4 linked regions of the Schizosaccharomyces pombe genome follow. The protein of the gene in region 3 interacts with the protein of the main gene of each other region in a pairwise test. Each region holds a gene or a part of one and is shown on either strand. Other genes may lie near its edges.

Evidence for each region.
Region 1: the proteins of cdc5 (region 3) and prp45 interact in binary tests that used the Schizosaccharomyces pombe proteins (3 or more experiments, as listed by UniProt).
Region 2: the proteins of cdc5 (region 3) and cwf11 interact in binary tests that used the Schizosaccharomyces pombe proteins (3 or more experiments, as listed by UniProt).
Region 4: the proteins of cdc5 (region 3) and cwf10 interact in binary tests that used the Schizosaccharomyces pombe proteins (3 or more experiments, as listed by UniProt).

The regions. Positions count from the first base shown.
Region 1 is NC_003421.2:1,500,783-1,505,164, reverse strand, and holds prp45 (Prp19 complex subunit Prp45), read right to left. Parts: upstream 2,523-4,382; 5' UTR 2,474-2,522; coding exon 2,445-2,473; exon of another isoform or gene 2,402-2,444; coding exon 850-2,401; intron 802-849; coding exon 709-801; 3' UTR 501-708; downstream 1-500. Other genes in the region: septin Spn6, read right to left, coding at 1-103, 166-224; SPOM_SPCC188.14 (uncharacterized protein), read left to right, coding at 3,955-4,194. UniProt on the Schizosaccharomyces pombe protein: Involved in pre-mRNA splicing.
Region 2 is NC_003423.3:920,831-927,462, reverse strand, and holds cwf11 (protein Cwf11), read right to left. Parts: upstream 4,792-6,632; 5' UTR 4,739-4,791; coding exon 884-4,738; 3' UTR 822-883; downstream 1-821. Other genes in the region: gta1 (glutamyl-tRNA amidotransferase alpha subunit), read right to left, coding at 1-320, 367-613; TORC1 serine/threonine protein kinase Tor2, read left to right, coding at 5,179-6,632. UniProt on the Schizosaccharomyces pombe protein: Involved in mRNA splicing where it associates with cdc5 and the other cwf proteins as part of the spliceosome.
Region 3 is NC_003424.3:2,692,794-2,697,930, reverse strand, and holds cdc5 (splicing factor Cdc5), read right to left. Parts: upstream 3,233-5,137; 5' UTR 3,174-3,232; coding exon 3,155-3,173; exon of another isoform or gene 3,115-3,154; coding exon 3,095-3,114; exon of another isoform or gene 3,038-3,094; intron 3,029-3,037; coding exon 3,014-3,028; exon of another isoform or gene 2,950-3,013; coding exon 2,830-2,949; exon of another isoform or gene 2,761-2,829; coding exon 2,312-2,760; exon of another isoform or gene 2,248-2,311; coding exon 597-2,247; 3' UTR 514-596; downstream 1-513. Other genes in the region: SPOM_SPAC644.13C (Rab GTPase-binding protein), read left to right, coding at 1-513; [pyruvate dehydrogenase (acetyl-transferring)] kinase Pkp1, read left to right, coding at 4,402-4,495, 4,579-4,745, 4,825-5,137. UniProt on the Schizosaccharomyces pombe protein: Involved in mRNA splicing and cell cycle control.
Region 4 is NC_003423.3:4,050,618-4,056,480, reverse strand, and holds cwf10 (GTPase Cwf10), read right to left. Parts: upstream 3,926-5,863; 5' UTR 3,881-3,925; coding exon 3,855-3,880; exon of another isoform or gene 3,811-3,854; coding exon 3,451-3,810; intron 3,413-3,450; coding exon 3,061-3,412; exon of another isoform or gene 3,002-3,060; coding exon 785-3,001; 3' UTR 502-784; downstream 1-501. Other genes in the region: protein Mtl3, read right to left, coding at 1-313; SPOM_SPBC215.11C (aldo/keto reductase family protein), read left to right, coding at 5,099-5,863. UniProt on the Schizosaccharomyces pombe protein: Component of the U5 snRNP complex required for pre-mRNA splicing. Binds GTP.

The sequences.
Region 1 (4,382 bases), on a different chromosome or scaffold from region 3:
AGAAGTAGCAAAAAGAGTATTGAAGAACGTTGTTTTTCCAGTACCTGAGGCTCCGCAAAGCATGATTGTTAAACCACATTCTTTTCTTTTTATTAAATTTTCTCTGTGGTATATTTGTTAATGAATGATTTATGAATTTATGACTAGATTGTAACGATAACATACCTTTTGGATGGTAGACTATCCAAATTTAATAATAATTGAAGGTTTTCAGTCAAAGACATCGTAAAAATTTATTTCTCGAACTATCTGTATTTTGCTCTTTAGTAGGTTCAGGTTTGTTTCAAACAGCGTTTATCAGCGAAATATAAACAAACAACCGAATGTCCAGTGATAAAAAGCACAGATAAATAAATAAATATGCCTCATCAAAAATTTTTAAATATACAAATTAAATTATCTACATAGAAGACTTTTAATTCTTTTTCACATCTTGTACCAAAATACTTTCATAATCCTGGTTTACCAGAGTTGAAACAAGAATACAAATAAAAACGATGCTCAAATTTACTAGCTCTTTAATCATTAGAAGAATAAACATTAATTTTTAAGACTAAATATGAACTTCTGTTGAATTAACTGCCTTGATCCAAAAAAAACACAAAACGTAAATTGTACTTTTTTTTATTTTTAAGACAGTCATATTCCAATGAATAAAACCATACAATAATGTACATTTTCTTTGACAGTGTCAAGGATCGAATAGAATTAAGTTTTCTTTGAAGAAACATTATTCAAAAAAGTATCTACACCAAAAGGATCAGCAATATCTTTCTCGAAAGTGACGGGGCCAGCACGAGACTAAGAAAAGTTAGTATTTAAGTAAAAGTATAAGATATTGAAACATACCTCTACGACTTCATCCGATCCTTTGAACTTTTTATGCGCATTTCCTAGTACATCATAACGACTTTCACTAGTAATACGTTCCAATTCTGCAGATGCATCAACTTGACGGGACAAAGTAGCACCCGGTCTATATAACGTTGATGAAGGTGCCGCCCGCCACGGTTTATCATACACATTGTAACTGTCTTCGTCTTGAAATCCGGATCCTAAGCCAGAAGCCTGATTAAATAATCTACTATCGATCATTGTATCGCTTGACATTGATGGTTTTGAAAGTCCTAAAGCAACCCTTTCAGCGACATCACGAGGTCGATCTTTTTCAGCAAGCTTAGCACGTTTTTCAGCACCCATTCGACTGAGACGAAGATCCTTTTCAGCTTGGCGTCTTCGCTCGCGGCGAAGTTCTTGACGACGGCGAAAAGCTTCTGAATCCTCATCTTCATTTTCTGACTCTGAATGATGCGAGAACGATCCAGCTCTGGAACGACTTCTTTCTTCAGAGGAGACAGAAGTAGAGCGGGGTTTTGCATGTGAAGGACCCGAAGAAGCCGCATTTCTACCCATACGATCTTCCCTTGCTTTTTGAGCAAGCATAAATAAACGTTGCTCCTTTTCCTGCTTTTCCTTTTCAGCCATCTTTTGGCGCATTATGGCACGATATCGGACCTCTTCACGAGCTTGACGCTCCACCGTGTACAATGCTTCAGAAAATTTGGCAAATCCATCGTTGATTTCAACATCATTAAGACCACGACCATCAGCGGCCAGCCGCTTATCCAATGGAATAGTGTAGCCTTTCGGATTTTTCCAATTAGAAATACTCGGAGGTATTTGCCAATCTTGTTGTTCTTGAGCAGAAACTTTTCGTGGAGGAGAATGCAAGACGGGAGGAGGAGGAGAAGGTGGTCCACGAGGAACCTTTTTGTGACGGAATTTTGGTGGTTCCATGGGATCCTGTTCAGCTGTGACCATTTTGATAATCCTCTGTTTGCTAAGTGCTTGTCCCATTTGATTGCTAGGAGTATATCGAATGTATACAGGATCGTCACGTTGTTGTACCACAGCACTTTTAGGTTGAGACTGAGCGATTTGTTTGGAAAGTATTTTTTGTAAGGCAAGCTTAGTTTTATTCGCTACTTCTTGCTTTTGCTCGTCAGACGGTTTCTCTAACGAAATTTCTCCCACACCTAGTCGTGCACGTAAGGGGATCAAATCTCGAAAGCTTGCCTGTACCAACTCTCCATGTTCGTGACCTTGTCGAGCAATGGCATTATAGTCAACAGCGCCCGAAGAAGTGACCTGTAGAGCCAATGTATTACCAGCAGATTTAGCTGACCTTTTTCTGCCCATATCCAAAGGATATTGTGCTACATGGATTTCGGGAAAAGCTCCACCATCGCCAAAGTCTTCAGGTGAAGAAGGAAACCATCCCTTTCTTTGTCCATAGGGAGGAATGTGAAATTTGACACCAATTTGTCTTTCATCTGCATGTGATGTTTCCCTCTCCACATAATCTTCCTCTTCATCGTCGAAATCAGGATTTGGAAGTATACTGCGGCGTTGTTAGTGAATTTGAGAAAAAAATATAAGTTTACCTAGAAAGTTCTTCGGATAAAAGGGCCATTTTTGGAAAATAATAAACAACTTTCCACTCAGATGTGTGAAGTGGTGTTGAGTACGAGTTGTATGGATATAATGGACATATGAATTCTGTTCGAATGAATCCAAAAGCTCTCGCAGCTTTGAGAAATAATTTAATAAATAAATCCTCAAATTACTTGGAAATTTACTTGCAAGAATGTATGAAAGAAAATCAATGCACGCATTACAACAACTGGTAAATGAAGCTAGTATTACGCTAGGTCACCTAAGTTAGGATTCCGTACTTGTTAGCATTAGTGTGAGCAACACAGTAGAATTATTGCGAATAAGGCACACGAGGAAATGCGTAATTCTTAAGTGTATTAACGATGCTTTTGACAACATAAATCATTTTCAGTGGGATATCTCACAGTTTTCATAAATACTATTCCGACACACTCGATTACGTTAGATGTTAAGAATTATCAGATCAACTTAGCAATGCGGCTTGTAACTATCTATACCTTTGTGTTTTCTTTCACTTTTTGCGAAGTTTATAAAGTTGAAATTAGCTCCCAACGTGCTTTATAACTTTCAAAAAAGTAGTGCCACGTTTATAGGAGATACATTTAATAAAGAAAAAGATTTGCCAAGCGATGAATAGTGAAAGTTAGCATACTTATGGCTCAATGCCTATATATAGTTGTCATTAGCCAGCTACCTTACAAAGTAATGAGAAATGAGCTGTAAGGCATGTTTGAACTTTCAATACTTCAAAAATATTGATTTAGGCGATCAATACGAATTGTACTAAAGTTTCTATATGTACCTCACCTTTTTTTAAATTTAAGTGGAGTTGATGGATTTTTCTCTCTTTATGTGTGTCTTCATGAGACTATCAAATCGCGTACTTTTTAACTCAATGGATATCATTTGATAGCAAACATAATTCAAACAATTTGCCTCTATTTTTTTTATTTAATAACGAGTCAAACTTACCGAAAGAACCATATAGTCAATGTTACTGAATCAATGAGATTTTGCGGATACGTTGGGTGTGGTTAAAAATTAATCAAATCTTGTTTTCTCCTCTATTCCTTTTTACTTTTTCAACGGTCTACTATGCAAAGTGACCTTGTGTAAGAATGAGAGTCAAAGAGAAAGCAACAGTATTTCATTATTTACACTTCTGTAACGTTTCACGCGAAACGCTGGTAATTGACTTGAACACAACTAAACTGCTGTTAACTGGAACAATTTATTGAAGTGGTTGTTTTTTTTGCCCATATTTGGTTGGACTTTCTGCCTTCTGTTTTCGTCACTTTACATGATTCTAGAGAATCGGTAAAATTGCCAAAGTCTTTCCGATAAAGCGGAACGAACGCAAGATATCAAAAATCAATACTATAAAAATTTTTGTTGTTGATTGCTAATGTTATAATAAGGGTCTGTTGCTCATAACCAGGTTTGGTTTAGTAGGTAAAAAGTTGTCTGAGCTAAAACCTCAACTTTTGTATAGTACTGATGCCCACGACAATTTCGCTTATTATATTTACATTTCTTTCACTTGGGGACTCGTGGAACGATTTCCCGTCAAGTAATGTGCCTGTTTATAACATGGTTACCGGCATATACGCTAAGTTTATGAAAAACTCCCCAAACTGGCCACTTTCACGATGCTGGTTATTCATCCCACAGTTTGCTGTTTACCCAGAATACTTTATACTTTCAATAAGAAACACTCGTAGAAGAAACGTACTTTGACTGCTCTCACGGTTAAAGTTGTCATATAGAGAGCGGTTTCGTTTAATTTGATCGATAAGACCAGCCTGTGTTATTCGATTGAATCAGGTTTCGTCTCTACTTCTTTTTGACTTTCTGCGTTTGTTCTGTACAATATTTGGTTTCCAATTTTTGAGCGAAAACTATCTGATGCGAGAGGCGGACTACTT
Region 2 (6,632 bases), on a different chromosome or scaffold from region 3:
TCCATATCTCGAAATCCTGCCGAAAGATGGTTTAAAACCTACACAACCTACGTAAGCAGCAGGTAGACGGATTGATCCTCCTGTGTCTGAACCAACTGATGCATAACATATATCCGCCGCGATTGCAGCAGCAGCTCCTCCCGAGCTGCCCCCAACATCGTAATTACTATCCTTAACAACAGGATTAACAGTGCGACCAAAAAGATTGTTTTCGCTCTTGACTCCCATTGCAAACTCATCCATATTTGTTTTACCAAGAATAATACCGCCGGCTTTCTTCAAGCTTTCGACAATTGACGCATCAAACGGAGAATTGTAGTCTAGTTAAACCGCAATTAGTAACTGAAATATATTCTTATTGTCTACCCTTCAACATATTAGAGGCTGCCGTGGTTAAATTTGTCTTCGTGCAAATATTTTCCTTTACTGTAATCAGTTTCCATTTTAACGGAAGCTTCTTTTCCAGTGGTAATTTACTAATTTCAACAAATGAATCATATAGATATTCGGCACTATTTATTGAAGTTAAAGACTTAATTTTCGCATCATTTAGAATGATACTAGCATATTTAGCTGCAACTTCTTTTAATAAATTGTTATATTTATTACTCATTCGACCAATCAATCATTGGACGTTAACTTCGTGCAAATAATGTATTACCCAACTTGTTGTATAGTTGAATAAAGTAGTGAGCTATTATCGGTATGACACCTAAGACTTTTTCTGAGGGGATCAACTTTTTATTGTTTGTAAAGCTCACTATTTAGTTTTTTAAATAAGTTAATTATGCAAAAAAGCAATGAAATAAAATGACTTTAATCTTACAAATAATCATTAATTCAATACAACAAGCAAATAGTCTATATGAAGTAGGTTTTTATTTTAATTCGTATTTAACCTTTTTTTAGTCATTTCAACAACATAGTTTGAGAGATGAAGTAAATTTTCAATTTCAAATGTTTCAACGGAAGATCCGATTTTGTGAGAACTTGGATATATTTCTCCCGTGGTTAAAAGCAGCTTGTCAGGAGTCTTTTCAATTTCATTCCACAGTTTTTCAAGACCACGTGTAGAGCGAAAAAGGTCACGGTTGCACAATACGTACAGACCATATGAGCATGCTGAAAAGGCTTTATAAAATGTTTTTGGATTCCAATGATCAGAGGCCTCTTTAGATTCAACTGTCGTAAATATAACAAAGTTTACCCGTTTATCGCTTGGTAATTTTTCCACGGTACCTACAAAAGCAGGCTGACCAAAAAACGAGTTATGAGAACAGCGTACCGATATAATTTCATTTAAAAGGCTGACTTGACTCTCATAAAGCGTACAGATTACAATTTCGTTGGTGGGATAACCTAACATTCGCATGTACTGGAATAAGGCAACTGCGTACTCGGCTTCTCCAAGATTTTGCTTATAACCGCTAACGGGTTCTGTTTCTTGAGAACCTTTAAAAGCTCCCACATTAATAAATTGGACCTCATGTGCAAACCCCGAATTACCATAATCAAGTCTTTTATTGGGACTAGAATCCACAGTTTTGATGTCCAAAGGATAAATTGATGAACATAGAGAACTGATAGATTCTCTAACATTGTATTGCGTATTAAGGTCAATAATTCTGGATTTCAAATACCGCAAACGTTTGAAAAGTGAACCATTTGACGTATTATTTATATCCTGATTCCCAGAGGTAAGATATTGATTACCCAGAAGAACAAGGCGATCAAAACCAGTTGGTTCACAGTTTGAAAGTAGTATGCTAGTGATAGAGCTTTCACTTATATTTTGTGAGTTCATAACAATTAAATTGTTAAAGCAAAATCCCTTTTCTTTCAAAGTCCCTAAGCGTGTACTTAAGCTCGTCCAAGTGCATCCGATAATCCTAGATTGTTGGCATAATGCATACAATTCTTGATCTTCATAATATCTCAGTAATCCAAAAGGCCGGATCTCTTCCAGCTGTTGGAACATATATTCTAACTCCCCGTATAACTTTGTCGCATAATCGAAAAAATTATCTTTATTATACGTTTCTATCGGACGCTTAGATTTGTCACCGAAATACGAATGGAAAGGGAACCTGTTATAGGCATCCACAGAATCCTTATCATCTACCGTGTTCAAGTACTTTTCCCAAAGTCGCTTAATATAAGCATCCCTAAAATACAAAGCCGTATCTGGGCTGGCGTCATGAGAACCTGGAGCCTGGATTGAAGCAGCTAGGCGACCGATTTCTCGTAGAAGACCAGGAAGCTTAGATATCCAAGACGATAAAGTACCATAACGTTCCAACGTTTCGTCTTTTCCTTCATCAGATAGATATAATAGGTGCCCTTGGTGAAAACATCTAGCTTTTTCCAGTAAGGTAAACAAAGTATTCATAGAGAAATTGGAGTCAGAAAGTACAACGGTTCTATCATTGGGAGATGTGTCTTGTAAAACCTCTAGAAGTTTGCATACCAAAACATGTTTTCCACAACGAGTTGGACCATTAACCATAGTTAATCCTGGTTGAGATCCACGTAAAATCGATTCTAGCTGTTTGTCATTGTAAGTATATAATCGATTTGATGGTAGTAAAAAATGCCTATCAGATGCGGTAACATCAGCTGATATTTTGTTCTGATTAGTATAAAATTTGATTAGTAAAGATTCAGTTGATAAATTAGAAGGTACATGACAATTAGGAAGTACTGATTGCAACTGTTCGACTGTATTGAACAAGTTTCTAGCATAAATAGAATTAAGCCCAGCATTAGGAAAAGCACATATATCAGGCGTTCCAAAACCCAAAAATAAATCTTCGAACCATTTAGGAAATTCTTTAGCGCGATTAAGTAAAGATACAAGAATATTTAAGTCCAACCAATACTTATTTGCCTCAGGAGACAGTACCAAAGCAAAGTTGAACTTCAATTGCTTAGGGCGATATTCCCCCAACCCCGCAAGGGAATGATAATAAAATGGGCTTAGGTATACATTGATGGACTTGTTGTCAGAATCTGACTGCATATCGCTTTGAAACATTCCAACATCATCATTGCATATCGTCGCGATTGTAAAATCAGTCACCCCTTCTAAGGGGTCAAGCGCATTACCATGTAATAACTTGTACTCCATATCTTTAGAAATGTATATTAAGCAAAGAAAAGGGCTCTTGATGGAATTCTTTAAATCACGTAACGCTGAATGAAAAGGTCCAGGTCGACTTAAACCCATTTGACACTTTACAAATTGAGGTAAAACTTGACCGATTTGAGGTGGAGCAACGGAGGTAACTTTAAAGTTATTTAAAGAGAAAAAATTATCTTTGGTCAAATTCTTGGTCGCATTTTTAATTGATAGTCTCCTGTATTGTTCACTGAAATTTAAAAGTTCAGCATATAGTGACCTTAACAATAACTTTTTGTAAGCTTTACTCTGTTGTCTCATAAAAAAAGATATAGAAAGATATTGTATAGCAGTGTTTTGTAGTAGGAAGTAATTGGTCAAAGAGTTTTCTTGGTCCATCACGGATCGCTCACCAAGTACATCTTTCAAAGTAAAATTTATGATTTCATCATAATCATTTACCAATCTAGTCCTATCATACGTGTTAATAAAAACATTTTTTAAAAATTCGAAATCCACTTTTATAGCATATTTTTCGGGAAATGAAGTCCTCAAATAACATTTACTACACAAGGACTTAAGTGAATTGAAGGAAAGAAAAGACGTAATTTCCTCCAATTTTTGTCGCTGTTGTAAAGAGGTTTGTGTGCAAAATACCAGATCCCCTAATTCCTTCTGAAAATCCGAAAATAAAGTTAACTGTAAGTGGTAGTACACAAGCTCATCATTTCTGATTTTTTGTTCTTTCTCATATTCGTTACCTCTGGTATTATCAAAAGGGAATTTCAAAACATAGTTTAAGTCGTCTGTCATTTTTTTAAAAAGCTCATTACTGTCGTAATACAAAGACATTCTTAATGCGGTATAAAAACAACTGTCTTCTATTACGGGATGAGCAAAGCGACGTGTGGGAAATGCGGATAGTAAAACCAAAGACATATTGATAATTGCTAAAAGGGGGGTTACTTTCGCTTCTTGTTTTTCAGTTTGAGCGTAGCTAATCGATTTAATAAGCAGAGAATGAATCCAGCGGGAAAGTAAATTATGTAAAGGGAACTTTTCAACGATAGACGGTCGTTTTTCCTTATAAGAATCAAAGGCTTTCGTCAGAGAGCTTGAGTCATGTAGTAAATATTTTACTTTATCAAGATTATCAAGCGAATTTAAAATAGAAATGTTCGTTAACTGGTAAACAAGTTTCCTTAATTTCTCTATATTCGAAAACTGAAAACAGAGAGTAATGAATTGAATCATGTAAACCACTTCTGATAAATTTAAGGATAAAGAGACTTCAATTACTTTTTCAAAAAATAATTGAAACCGATTTTCATCAATGAGGTCCCATGTAATATATTCATATTTGGATTTGTATAATAGAAGCATACAAGTTAAGTTTATATGGTTCAATGACATCTCAGTATTAACCCTCTGCCAAAGGAAATTCTCAAAAAGCTTTAACTCATGTAACAGACTAAGTACTTGCTTAGCATCTTTACTTACAATGACAGCTTCGAGGATGCATTGTAGCATAGTTTCTTGAAATTCTACACCTTCATTTTGACCCCAATTCGAATTTGCATAATTAATGATTTGTTTTTTTTTGTTTTTATACAGAACCATTTAATAGAGAAAGGGATATTAGCAATATCACAAGTGTTGTGAACTTGGTGGTTAGCGTCAGAATCTTTAACAGCGATTCTTATTTGTTCTCCTCTATGAGCTTTGAGAAAAATGTAAAGTAAAAAACTTAAAGTAATACTTCGAAAATAAAATTTAGATAATCAACACTCGTTTTTGGTATTTTACCAAAGTTCCTAAGTTTAGACTTTTTTTAATAAAACTTGGATTTTTTGAGAACACTAAATATTAACTTGTATATCTATTACAAATAATTAATCGTCATAAAAATATTACTTTTTCAATCGTGTTTCTATTGATCTCCTCTCTGCGTATACTAAGAATTAGGTGCAAAAGTACAGCAGGTGCTTGTTTGGTCACCACCAACCACATTTAATAATTTTGTTTAATTGAGAGAATGATGCTAATTTAAGCTGTATATAATGAAAGAATTTCCTGGGTTGAAAAGCAGGAATGAAGAAATTCGCAATAAAGCGGCAAATGATCTTTATGAATATGTTATAGCTTATTCTCGAGAATTATCGGGCGAAGCTTTAGTTCAGTTTAACAATGATGTTAACAAGTACGTTTATACTTTAATTCACAGTACCGATCCACTCGATCGTCTGGCAGGCGTAACTGCCATAAATCGTCTAATTGATTATGAAGGAGAAGATACTACAAGGATTACTAGATTTGCAAATTATTTGCGTATTATTCTTCCAGGAACTGACCAAAAAGCCACCGTTCTTGCTGCAAAAGCTTTAGGGAGACTTGCAGTTCCTGGAGGTGCTCTAACTTCTGAATTTGTGAACTTCGAAGTTAAACGCGCTTTGGAATGGCTTCAAGGAGAACGTAATGAAAATCGTAGATATGCAGCAGTGCTTATACTTAAGGAGCTTGCCAAAAATACGTCTACATTAATCTATGCTCATATCGATTCAATTTTTGAGCTTTTATGGCATGGACTTCGGGATCCAAAAGTTACTATTCGAATAGCTTCGGCTGATGCGTTGAGTGAGTTCTTGAAAATCGTTAGGCAAAGGGATTCATCCATCCGTCTCCAATGGTATACAAGTATTCTCAATGAAGCTCAACGTGGTGTTGCACAGGGTTCTTCTGATTACATTCATGGTAGTTTACTAGTATATCGCCAATTATTTTTAAAAGCTGGAATGTTTATGCATGAGAGGTATCGAGAAGTATCGGACATTATATTGCAATTCAGAGATCACAAAGATTTGCTTATTCGCAAAACCGTTACAGAATTGATTGCTACACTCGCAGCTTATAATCCAGATGAATTTGTTTCCAATTATTTACACGTTTGTATGCTCCATCTACTTAATCTATTAAAAAAAGAAAATGTTAAGATGTTGGCGTTTGCCACTATTGGAAAAGTTGCCGTGGCTATTACTAATAGCATAATCCCATATCTTGACCCCATATGCGATTCAATCAAGGAAAGTCTAAAAATCCATATCCGTAATAAAAGTGCTTCGGATGCTGCAATTTTTCAATGCATTAGCCTACTTTCTATAGCACTAGGACAAGCCTTTTCAAACTATGCGTATGACCTCTTTGACTTAATATTTGCAAGCGGACTTTCTGAGGCTTCTTACCGTGCTCTCTCAGATCTGGCCCATAATATACCTCCATTATTACCAGTCATACAGGAACGACTATTAGATATGCTCAGCAAAATTCTAAGTGGTCGTCCTTTTATTCCTCCAGGATGTCCTCCCCAATATGTAGCAAGATCTTTAAAATCTTCAAAGAGTGCTTCCCTGAAGACAGGATTTTTTCCCAATGACGTCTATATTTTGGCTCTAAAAGTTTTGGGAAATTTTGACTTCTCCGGTTATATTCTTAATGAATTTGTGAAGGATTGTGTAGT
Region 3 (5,137 bases):
TCTCTGGACGAACCCATTCGTGTTACATTATTTAATGAATTTAGAGCTATTGGTGAAAAACTCGTCTATGTTTTGTATCCCAAAAATGCTCAAGTACTACGCGACTGGGACTTGTGGGGTCCTTTGATTTTTTCCCTCGTAATTGCTTTAGCACTTGCCTTGTCTACTGACAAGATTGAACGAGAATCTGTTTTTACAGTCGTTGTCGCGCTCATATGGTTTGGGGAAGCGGTTTGTTCTTTAAATATAAAATTACTAGGGGCCAACATTAGCATTTTTCAATCTATGTGTATATTGGGGTACTCCTCTTTCCCTTTAATGATTGCTTCTATAGTTTGTGCATTCGTTCCCTTAATATTTATACGCATACCTGTGATTGTTGCAATGTATGCCTGGACATTGTTCGCTGCTATGGGTGTTTTACAAAATTCTAATCTATCCAACAAAAAATTGTTGGCAGTATACCCTTTATTCCTTTTCTACTTTTCTCTAGCTTGGATTATCTTTTTATAAAACTTTCGTTTTATTTCAGGCATGATAATATACACTATGAATGATAAGCTATGACAATTATTTAAAACAAAGTGAAGTGAAGTTTAATTTTGTCCAGTAACCCTAGCATAATCTTGTTGAGCATACGCCTCGATTTGTTGCATTTTGCTTAGCTCTATTTCAGCTGCTTCAAGCCTATTAGGTAGAGCTAATCGCTCCTGATTGTATAGAAATTCGTAGCACGTTAAATTTTTCCTTTCTGTTTGCAAAGCCTTCCAAGCATGCGAGATTTTCTTTATCAAAAAATTACGTTGCTCATATGAAGATCTAACCAAATCATAAACCCGATTTTCCAACTTGTTACATTCCAATGCTTTCTTAGCTAAATCTCGTTGAATGTCGTTCGTATAAAACTTTTCAGCGGCTTCAACGTCTTCATCGTCTTCCTCGTAGATTACCAAGCCTGGCAACAAACTTGAGGTGTTGTGAAGTGCACTGTACGTTTCCAAAAATTCCTTCTCGAATTGGATATAATCGTCACTTTCTAGTTGCCCTATCTCTTTCTTTAGTAACAATCTACACCTCTCAATTTCTTCATTTGACAAATCAGGCACTTTGTTAGCCGTTCCTTTCACTTTTGAATTTCCAAACGGATAATTAATGGCGTCCGATGAAATCAAAGCAATCATTTCTTTCAATAAAACATTTGCAGTCGGATCTTCATTTTCAAGTGAACGCTTCCATTTTTCTGGTTGTGTTACAGATGGTCGAATCAAATCTCTTTGAATAACCTGTGACCTCCTCGCTTTTGCCAACCTTTCTTTTTCTGCAATACGTTCTTGGATACGACGTTCTCGGTCTGTTGCGTCTTCTTCAAGCACTCCAACAGTAGCTTCAACATCAGTTTCGTCCGCAAATCGAGGCTCCATTAGTTCATAGTCGTTTTTAGGTTTAGGTAGTTTTGCAAGCAATTCTCGCAAAGCCTTCAATCGAATTTTATTTTCTCTTTCACTTGCTAATCGTCCTGCTCGCTCCGCAGCTGCATTAATAGAAAATGTGTCACGTGGTGTTCTAAAAGGAGTTGCTTGAGGTGCTGCCAAAGCTGAGCCATTAGCTGCATGACTGGGAGTAACTCCTGTGTAACCAGTACCACCAGGTTGTAAAGGTATACTTTCCTGACCCAAGAGAGAAGATTGTTCGCGGTTCCTCATCAATTGATTTCTAACTTCAATTGTAACTGAATCCTCTCTTCCCTCAAGTTCACCACTAATTGGTGTTCTCAATGGAGTAGCTCGTTCAATTTGTGTATACTTTCCTAACAAATTAGTACTGTAATTAGCATCTGGAGTCGTATCAGTCATAGCGCGAGCACGATCGCCTGCAAAGCCTAGTTTCACTACTTTATCCAGTTCATCTTGAGACACAGTAGGACTAGGTAAATTCAACTTCCGCCTCTTGCTCATCTGCTCAGCCTCGGCAAGACGTCGCATTTTTTCTTCTTGGGCATCTTTGTTGGGCTTTTTTACTCTATCAATAGGTTTTGGCTTTTCAAAATGACCAAATTTTCGACCTTCGGATTCCATTTCATTATTCCGTATTCCATTTTCAATTATCTTCTGGTCCGCTTCTCGCTTTTCCCGAAAATTTTGCCTGTCCTCTTCTGAGGTATCATAAAAACCAATCGCTGGCTTTTTTTCAAATGGAATAGAAGCGTTATAATCCATTTCATTCTTCTTTCGACGGAAGAGCTTTATACTAAGTTATAGATTAACATAATGAAGGAAAAACAATACAATAAAGTAATAATAATAACACATACTTGATTCCAGCTGCCTTCAATTCTCTTCGCTTTTGGAGATGTGACAATCTTCTAGTTAATTCAAGCTGCTTTTCTCTATCCTTTCGTTTGGCTTTCTTTCCTTGTGTGTTTGCTAAACGTGCACGTGCTTCACTCAACATCTCTTTTTCGTCTTCATCCATGTCAATGGCATCAGGGAGTGCAGGTAGGGTTTCTAAATTGGGCTCTGCTTCGCCAAAACGAAGCCGGGAATTTGGATCGTTAACAGGCGCAGCTGCTTCTGCACCTTCTCCACTGATCAATCCCAACTGCTCGTTCTCTTTCGCTTCCAAATCATCAAGAAGTTTTTGATAGCGTTCTAAACATTGAGTGGCCGTCCGACCTACAATTGGAGCAATCGTCCGCCACTGTGTAGGAAGTAACTTAGCTAAGTGTAATAATTTTTCGTCCTCTTCACGACTCCATTCAGTCTAAATGTGAAGGAAATGTTAACAATAGGTCTTGTCAAATAACAAATAGTGATTACATGTTTAACATACCTTTTTAATGCTTGGATCGATCCATTCATACCAACGAGCTTTACATTGTTTAGGAGTTTTGCGAACCAGCAATGAACTTATGCGGGCCCATTGGTTTTTACCGTATTTACTGACAGCAGCCTAGGAATTTGCGTTAGTATTCTAAATATTAAAGGAAATATGTAACTAATAAATAAAAAAATACCTTTAAGATTTCATCCTGTTTACCAATAAGTTAGTAACAAAAACATTGCGCGTGGTAGAAGGTTAAAATCATAGTCTTTACCTCTGTATTTTTCCAGGCACCTAAATTATGTTAGAAAATACAATAAAAAAAGTTACAAACCTCCTTTTAAAACAACCATTTTCTAAATATTCGCCAAAACCCTGACAATTGTCAGAAAGCGTGGTAATGGAGGTTTGTAGTAACTGTAACAACTTGCGACGAAACAGGGTGGATGGGAAATTGAGGTAAATGTCGAGTGCAGCAGAAAGTGACCAAAATTATATTTTATATTTAAAGTAGTTTTAACTTTTAAAAGAACAGTTTCTTAAACACACTAATAGTCAAACCAAATATTCATTTTATTGTTTTTTCCAGTTTGCTACGTATCACATATTTACCTTAAATTATTTCAATGTAGCACATGTTTCTTTATCGCAAAAATATAATAGCGCAAAATCGTTGGACAACATTAAATTTTTTTGAATATTCCTAACCGTTGAGTATTAAGAAAATATTTGACAAGCAGGATATAGCAATGATCAAATATGTTTATCTTGAAGGTGGATCTACCATACTCTTCCTCTTATTTATGGTTGGTATATCAACAAGTAACTACAAGCATTGCAGTATTATGTGTATCGTTAAGTAACCTAATGACCGCGTATTTGTCAGCAATACTACACTACGTTACATATCACTATATGTCATATGTTGGAATACTAATTAAGATCCGTCTATTGATCATCACGGGTAACTATCCGTCTATATACATAGATACCCGTTGATAGCAACTATTTAGAAATATTATAAATAGAGTTTTAACTGAACTGAGGAACGAGGTTCAGTTATAAGCTATATTAGTGATAGGTAACATTTTATAACCTAGTTAATACAATACCTATACTCAGTTGCTACTCATACGACCTGTGTATTGTAATATAATAGACCACAAGGAAAACTCACCGCAGTTCTACGTATCCTTAAATTAGATAACAAACTGTGTAGCTAGCAGTATTGTGAAAAATAAAATAAGCAATGCAAAAGAAGTATAATGTATCACGCATTTCAATTTTAATGGAATACACTCAAGTTCATTATTTTTATGGGTACTTTGCAAACATATGAATGCATTAGTTTAGCAAAAGCTTTCTTAGATTCTGTGTGAAAACATTAAGAAACTGCTTTATTTGTTTGTTTCTGAAGCTCATCTTTTACTTTCTTTAGGTTATATTTTGCAAATTGCCGCTTTTTTTATGCTCGTCCATGGGTTATCATCTATTTGTTAGACAAACCAACAAAGTTTACGATTGAACAATTGTTCTATTTATCATTATCGAATTTAAAGAAAAACTTAAGGTTTAAAAGAAATGTCAGTGCTCGGGAAAACTTTACAGGAGAAAGTCAATCTCTTGGCTCAATATCCTCAAACAGGGTTGTCTTTAAAGCAATTAGTGTATTTTGGTAAGAATTTTTGCTCAGTTAATTTTTCTTAGATTACTTCATACTAGAAATTTTATACTGACTGCTTAATTTTTATTATGAAGGCAAGAACCCTACACCAGGAACACTTTTCCGGGCTGGCTTGTTTTTGCGAGATGAATTGCCCATTCGCTTGGCTCGGCGCATCCAAGACCTGCAGAATCTTTCACCGATGCTACGAAGTATGAAGCGTATATCTTCCGTAAAGGCTGCTTACGGTAGATCTATGGAGGTAGGTCAAATGTGTATATTTGCATGTTCGATACTTGTCGAAACATAACCAGAAATCAAACAAAGCTAACTGGTTGAAGGAAATTATTGAACTGAAAGGAGTGGAACTACCGAAATGTCTTCCAAAGCACGCTCGATATCACAATGCCCCGAAATGGAGGTCAAGTTTAATGGACTCTGAAATTCTTCATAATCCCTCGCTTGCAAATACTCATTTAGACTCTTCAAAAGGTCGCTATTTTGAAACAGATTTTTCTGACCAAGATAATGGCGTTGATTGTAATTGGCCCGAATCTTTGTTAAAATTTAATAGTAATTTTGCATACCTTTTAAATACCATTCGAACTAGACACGATAACGTTGCAGTCGAAATTGCTTTGGACATACAAGAAT
Region 4 (5,863 bases), on a different chromosome or scaffold from region 3:
AGCTGACCGGAGACGAGTAAGAATTAGTTTCTGAGGGAGTAGCAGATTCAGAAAAGATACTGGGTTCACTAGAGCTAGTGGGTGTCGCATACCCGTAGTAAGTAGGAGTTCCTCCAGTTTCAGCGGCACGACCATAATATCGGATTTCCTGACGCCTTTGTAGTTCCTCTTGAGAATCTCTGCCCTCAAGTTGATTTAAAGATATTTTTGTGAAGCTGGAATTACCATATATTTGATGCACCAAGAAGGCTTGCGTAAAAATGTTCGATATGCAAAATACGCAAATGAGAGAAAACAAAAGTCTCAAACCCATCTTCAGTTTTAAGGATAATAATAAACTAATCTAACTAAACTCGCTGTATTTTACTTCCAAAAGCAGAGCACTTCCGGAAGTTGTATATGTCCCTAAAGTCTTCCGGTATACTGAGAGGGTAACTTCATGACATATGACCTCGGGTGTTTATAGTACTATGAAATTACGTTATTTCAGTTGAGTGTTAGTTTCTTAACATAAAAAAATAAATAATAGAAGTTATTTATCTATATACTAAAATCGTAAAACCAAAATGCGACTTTTCCTTCTGATCAAGGATTTCACAAATAATTTACGGCTTCAAGATATGCGCTGATTTTTCGGATTTCATACACTGTAAACGCGAGATTTGAAAGCAAAAAAAAGTTGTTAGACTTCTCGAACTTTCATAAATAATCGTATACTTTATTATTAAAATCTACCCAATTTATTTTTTTTTGCAAAATCCATTATAAAGACTTAAAACCGACATTACAAAGAGAGTACGACACCTGCTTCTTTCAAAGAATCAATCATTTCTTGATCGAAATAGCGAGTTGTAGAAACATCTTCCACCAGACCTTTTCTACGTCTTGTCTTAATCAGAAAGTCTCTCGCCAAATCAGAGCCACGTGCGGGTTCTAATGGCTTGGGCTTGATAGACTTATCCAGTGGATCACCAGGTACTACCTGCCAATGATCAAATACCATTTGACACATAGCTTGACCCTGAGTATGCACTCGTAAATCTGTTTCAAATCCACAAGAATCAATGACTGGAATAAGTGCTCTCACCAAATATAATGGGGAACCTGGCCGAGGGATATCTTGGAGGACATGACCACGACGACGCGTTAATAAATCATAAATAATAGGAAGACTGTCAGCGGGGGCATGTACTTCAACCATATACACTGGTTCCATTAGCCGTGGAGACGCTGTTAAAAAAGAAGAATAACACACTCTCCTTGCGGTTGGAATAATTTGACCACCTCCTCGATAAATTTGTTCAGGTGCAAGCACTACATCCATCAGGCGAAAATTCACGTTTCGGATTGTCTCATCACATAGAGGACCTTCCCTAGTCCCCCATTGAAAACCTTGTTTAATGTATTCTTTTACGCTATTAAGCACGTTTTTATCAACATCTGTACTAAGAGTATCATCCCGCAATATATTCGTACCACGATCATCGGGACCAAAAGCCCAGATGGAACGTGAAGCTAGTAAGTCCCAATCGTAGTTCTTTTGGAAAAATTCGCTGATTCTTTTTTGAGGCCAATTGATATTAACTTTTCCATTTTCAATGTCATTAGAAATTCCTTTCTCCAATGGCTCAACTACCATTGTGATACGATTTTTTTTATTTGGAGTATCTGAAAAACACTTGATACTTGATGTGTCCACCGCAGTCTCACAGAAACGAGCAACTGGATCGGAAACTCTGATTTCGATTTCAGAGTATAAAGTCCGAAGATCATAAAGTAGACAATCCATATACATCTCACCAGTACCGAAAATAGTATGTTCCCCAGATTCTTCTACTTTTGTGATAGATAGTGGGTAGCTTTTGTTTGTTTTTCGTAGGCCATCAAGTAGTTTTGGTAATTCTGATGGATTGTGTGGCTCTACAGCCACCTTGAAAACACTCTCGGACATGTGAGCAATTGGCCTGAAAATGTAAGGATCATCTTTCAAATTGTCCGAAACGATGGTTGCTGTTTTGCTAATAGAGTTATCAACACCTCCTAAAAGAACTAGCATGCCGGCAACAGCTCCATCAACGTGAAGACGATATCGTGCGCAAGGTACACATATTTCAGCAATATGAGCAACCACCATATCCTCTTCGTCTTCTAAAGAATAATTTTCTCCAAGAACTTTAACTTTCTGACCCTTTTTAACCTGACCACTATATACACGAGCAAATGCATAAAAATTATTAGCATCGACGGTGTTGTAAAGTTTAGTAACATGCATGACTAATGGTGCTGATTCCTCACGACTCATTTCTAAGATAGCCTTGCCGATACTAGAGTTTATAGGCCCAATATATGATTGAGAGGCTTTACGAGCGGCATTTTCTCGAGGCGATGGAATATGTCTAGTAACTGCATTCACAAAACCAACGGGGAATCCAAAAAACGATGCGCAAATTAGTTGCAAGAGTGGTTTAGGATCTAATAAATAATCCTTGGGTTTTAAATAAATTTGGAAAGAAGATAAGTGTTTTTTGAGTTTTTCGGCTTCGTCAGAAATAGTAAGGGTATGTAATTTATACAACGGTTCTAATATGAAATGGACAAAGCTTCTAACGCCAGAGCCATCCAAGGACTGTTTGGCAAATTTTCTGGTTTTCGAATCGAAATAAATATCCCCCCACAATCTTTTAGAAAATAAGTCCACGTCGATACCTCCATGTCTATCTATATAGAGTTTTGCGAAACTAGACAATGTAAAACAATATCCAAGATCACATGAAGCAAAACAAACGTTCCCTAACTCAGGAGAAACGCGATATTTCAAATCTTTACTAATCTGGCAAATGTTATCGTTTACTTCGTCGATAACGTGTCGAAGTTTATGGTAAGCATCATTCGGAGGGAGACGTAGCTCAAGGATTAACCTATCAACTTTGTTCAAGACGAGCACAATTGGCATATCGTGAAGAATCGCATGTTTGATAATTCTAGTGGTGTTAATCATCACCTAAAGCATGTTAGAATCTTTATATCTTCAAAACGCAAGAAAAGGCCAGAATAACTTACACCTTCAATAACATCAACGACTAATACAACACCATCACTTATGGCCATAGGAGCAGCGACTTCATCAACAAAATCGACATGACCAGGCGTATCGATGCACTGAAATGCAAACGTCTTACCCTTCATATCAGAAACTGCGAGCGTAAGTGGAGTACTTTTTATAGACATCACACGTTCTCTTTCAAGATAATGAGTGTCGGTATATCGAAGTGAACGCCTTTTTGGCGGCTTGGTGTCAGGATGGGTATAATAAACGAGTAAATCTAATAAAGCGCTTTTGCCGTGATGCAGATGGCCAGCAACAATAAAAGATCTAACGTCATCTGTCCCAGTTAAGAGACCGAAGAGGAACCTTAAAAAGTTAGAAAAGACATTGTTACACATACTTACTCTTTCTTGTATACAGTATCTGGGACGTTTGTTGTTTCTATAGCAATCCTTTTGTGACGAATTGGCTCAATAATGGGCTGGCTTAAGGGTTGAGTATCCTGTTCCTGAACCATGATATCCACGTTGGACCCATATACCTCTTCAGCGCTAGGATAATATTGTTTATCCTCGTGAAGAACAACGGCATTCTGAGGCTCTAGATGACTCAACGCCATTTCCTCGGCCCTTTCAACGTCTTCTAATTCTTCATCAGGAATGACCTCTTCAAAGGATGGTACCTGTGCAATTGTAGGGCTAGGAGCCTGAGGAAACAGCTCCTCTTCATCTTCTTCATTTTCAGGGCCTATGTAATTTCCAAACCTGGCGAGTTAGAAATAACTATAAAATGTTTTTAGACCACTTACTCATCATATAAATCCTCTTCCATCATCAGTTACTGCCAAGTACCCACAATGCACAACTTTTGGTAATTACCAAATTTGAAGTAAAGTGTAACCAAGTTTTCGAGCTTTAGCGCATTCATGTCTCAACTGCGATTTATATCTCGTTAAGCTTTGATAATGAGCTAGAGAAATCATTGTCTTTATACTCTCTAAACGAGATATGATCGGCTCAGTAACTTCCACTACACTCTTTAAGGTTGCCGAAGAACGACATCGTCTCATTTTGATAGAAAGGAATGAATCGTAATTATTGAAAACCAAATATACTTTTTTATTTACCAACTTCCTCCTTAAAAGTCGTACATGGGTGTAATTGAGACCTTAAAAGACTGGTTATGTCTACGATTTGAGCTACCGACCCATGTTTAGCAGCCAAATTTATAAGCTTTTCGAAGACAATAGTAAGAGTAAATAGCCATTGTAAAAGTGCGGTGCAAACATTTTTAGAGCGCAAGTTTTGCAACTGTACAAAGTATTTAGTGTGTTTATAAAACACACAACAAATTGCTGAATGTCAATAACACTAATAATATACTGGCATCATCAACTAAATTCAAAAAATGTGTTTCCTTTCAAATACAGTCCTAGAATTGTTATTATGTGCAATGTTTACCTCGATTTACGGAACTGGTCAACCCATTTGTGGTCTCCAAATGATAACTCGTAGTACGATTTGATAGCACGATCAAGCATAATTCAAGAAGATGGAAAATATAAATCCACATTATCTTGAATAGAAAGAAACATAGCAATAAAGATCATTATCGTTATGTGCGACCATCGTTGCTCATGAATAAAAATGGGCTGGCAAAAGAAGACAGAGATACAGTTTAGACAATTCATCCAGCATCAGATTTTGGAACCATAAAATTATCATTAAATTGAATAAGAGCCAAATCAAAAAGGACTTAGCTATTTACTCTAATTCAAAATCCAACCAGCAATATCGTACTATAATAGTATTAGTCATCGTTATGACAATATATTGTCTAACGCGCTCTTACATCATACCACTGGATTCTGTAAATAGGGTATGTAATAAATCAGTTTTCGTGGTTTAAGATAGTCCGCATCAATCCAGCTTATGTAAGGAATACACCATGTAAAATTACTATAAAAGGAAACGGCGTCTGACATCCCACACTTACCGGATCCACTATAGTACTTGATCTTGATTTCTAAGAAAAGCGACAAAAGACACAAAAATGAGTAAAACTGCAGCTTCTTCCGCCGTAGATGCTTCACAAGCTGGGACTGTCAAGGTTGGCGACATGGTTGTCAATAGAATGGGATTCGGAGCAATGAGAGTTACCGGTGATGGTATATGGGATGAACCCAAAGACAAAGAGGCTTGCATCGCAACTTTAAAACGTTTGCCTGAACTCAATATTAACTTTATTGATACCGCCGATTCTTACGGCCCTGAGGTCAGCGAGAATCTTTTACGAGAAGCTTTATACCCTTACAAAGGACTTATAATTGCTACCAAGGGTGGCCTTGTTCGTACAGGTCCAAATGAATGGCATCCTTGTGGAGCACCCAAATTTTTACGTCAAGAAGTACTTATGAGCATGCGTCGACTTGGAGTTAAGCAAATTGACCTCTGGCAACTACATCGCATCGATCCCAAGGTTCCTCGCAAAGACCAATTTTCTGAAATTGCAGCTATGAAGAAAGAAGGATTGATTCGCCATGTTGGATTGAGTGAGGTTACAGTAGACGATATCAAAGAAGCTGAACAGTATTTTCCGGTAGTTAGTGTTCAGAACTTATTCAACCTTGTCAATCGTAAGAATGAGAAAGTGTTAGAATATTGTGAACAGAAGGGAATTGCGTTTATTCCTTGGTATCCCTTAGCTTCAGGAGCATTAGCCAAACCCGGAACCATCCTGGACGCTGTTTCAAAAGACCTTGATCGTTCCACTAGTCAAATAGCTTTGAGTTGGGTTTTACAACGCAGTCCGGTTATG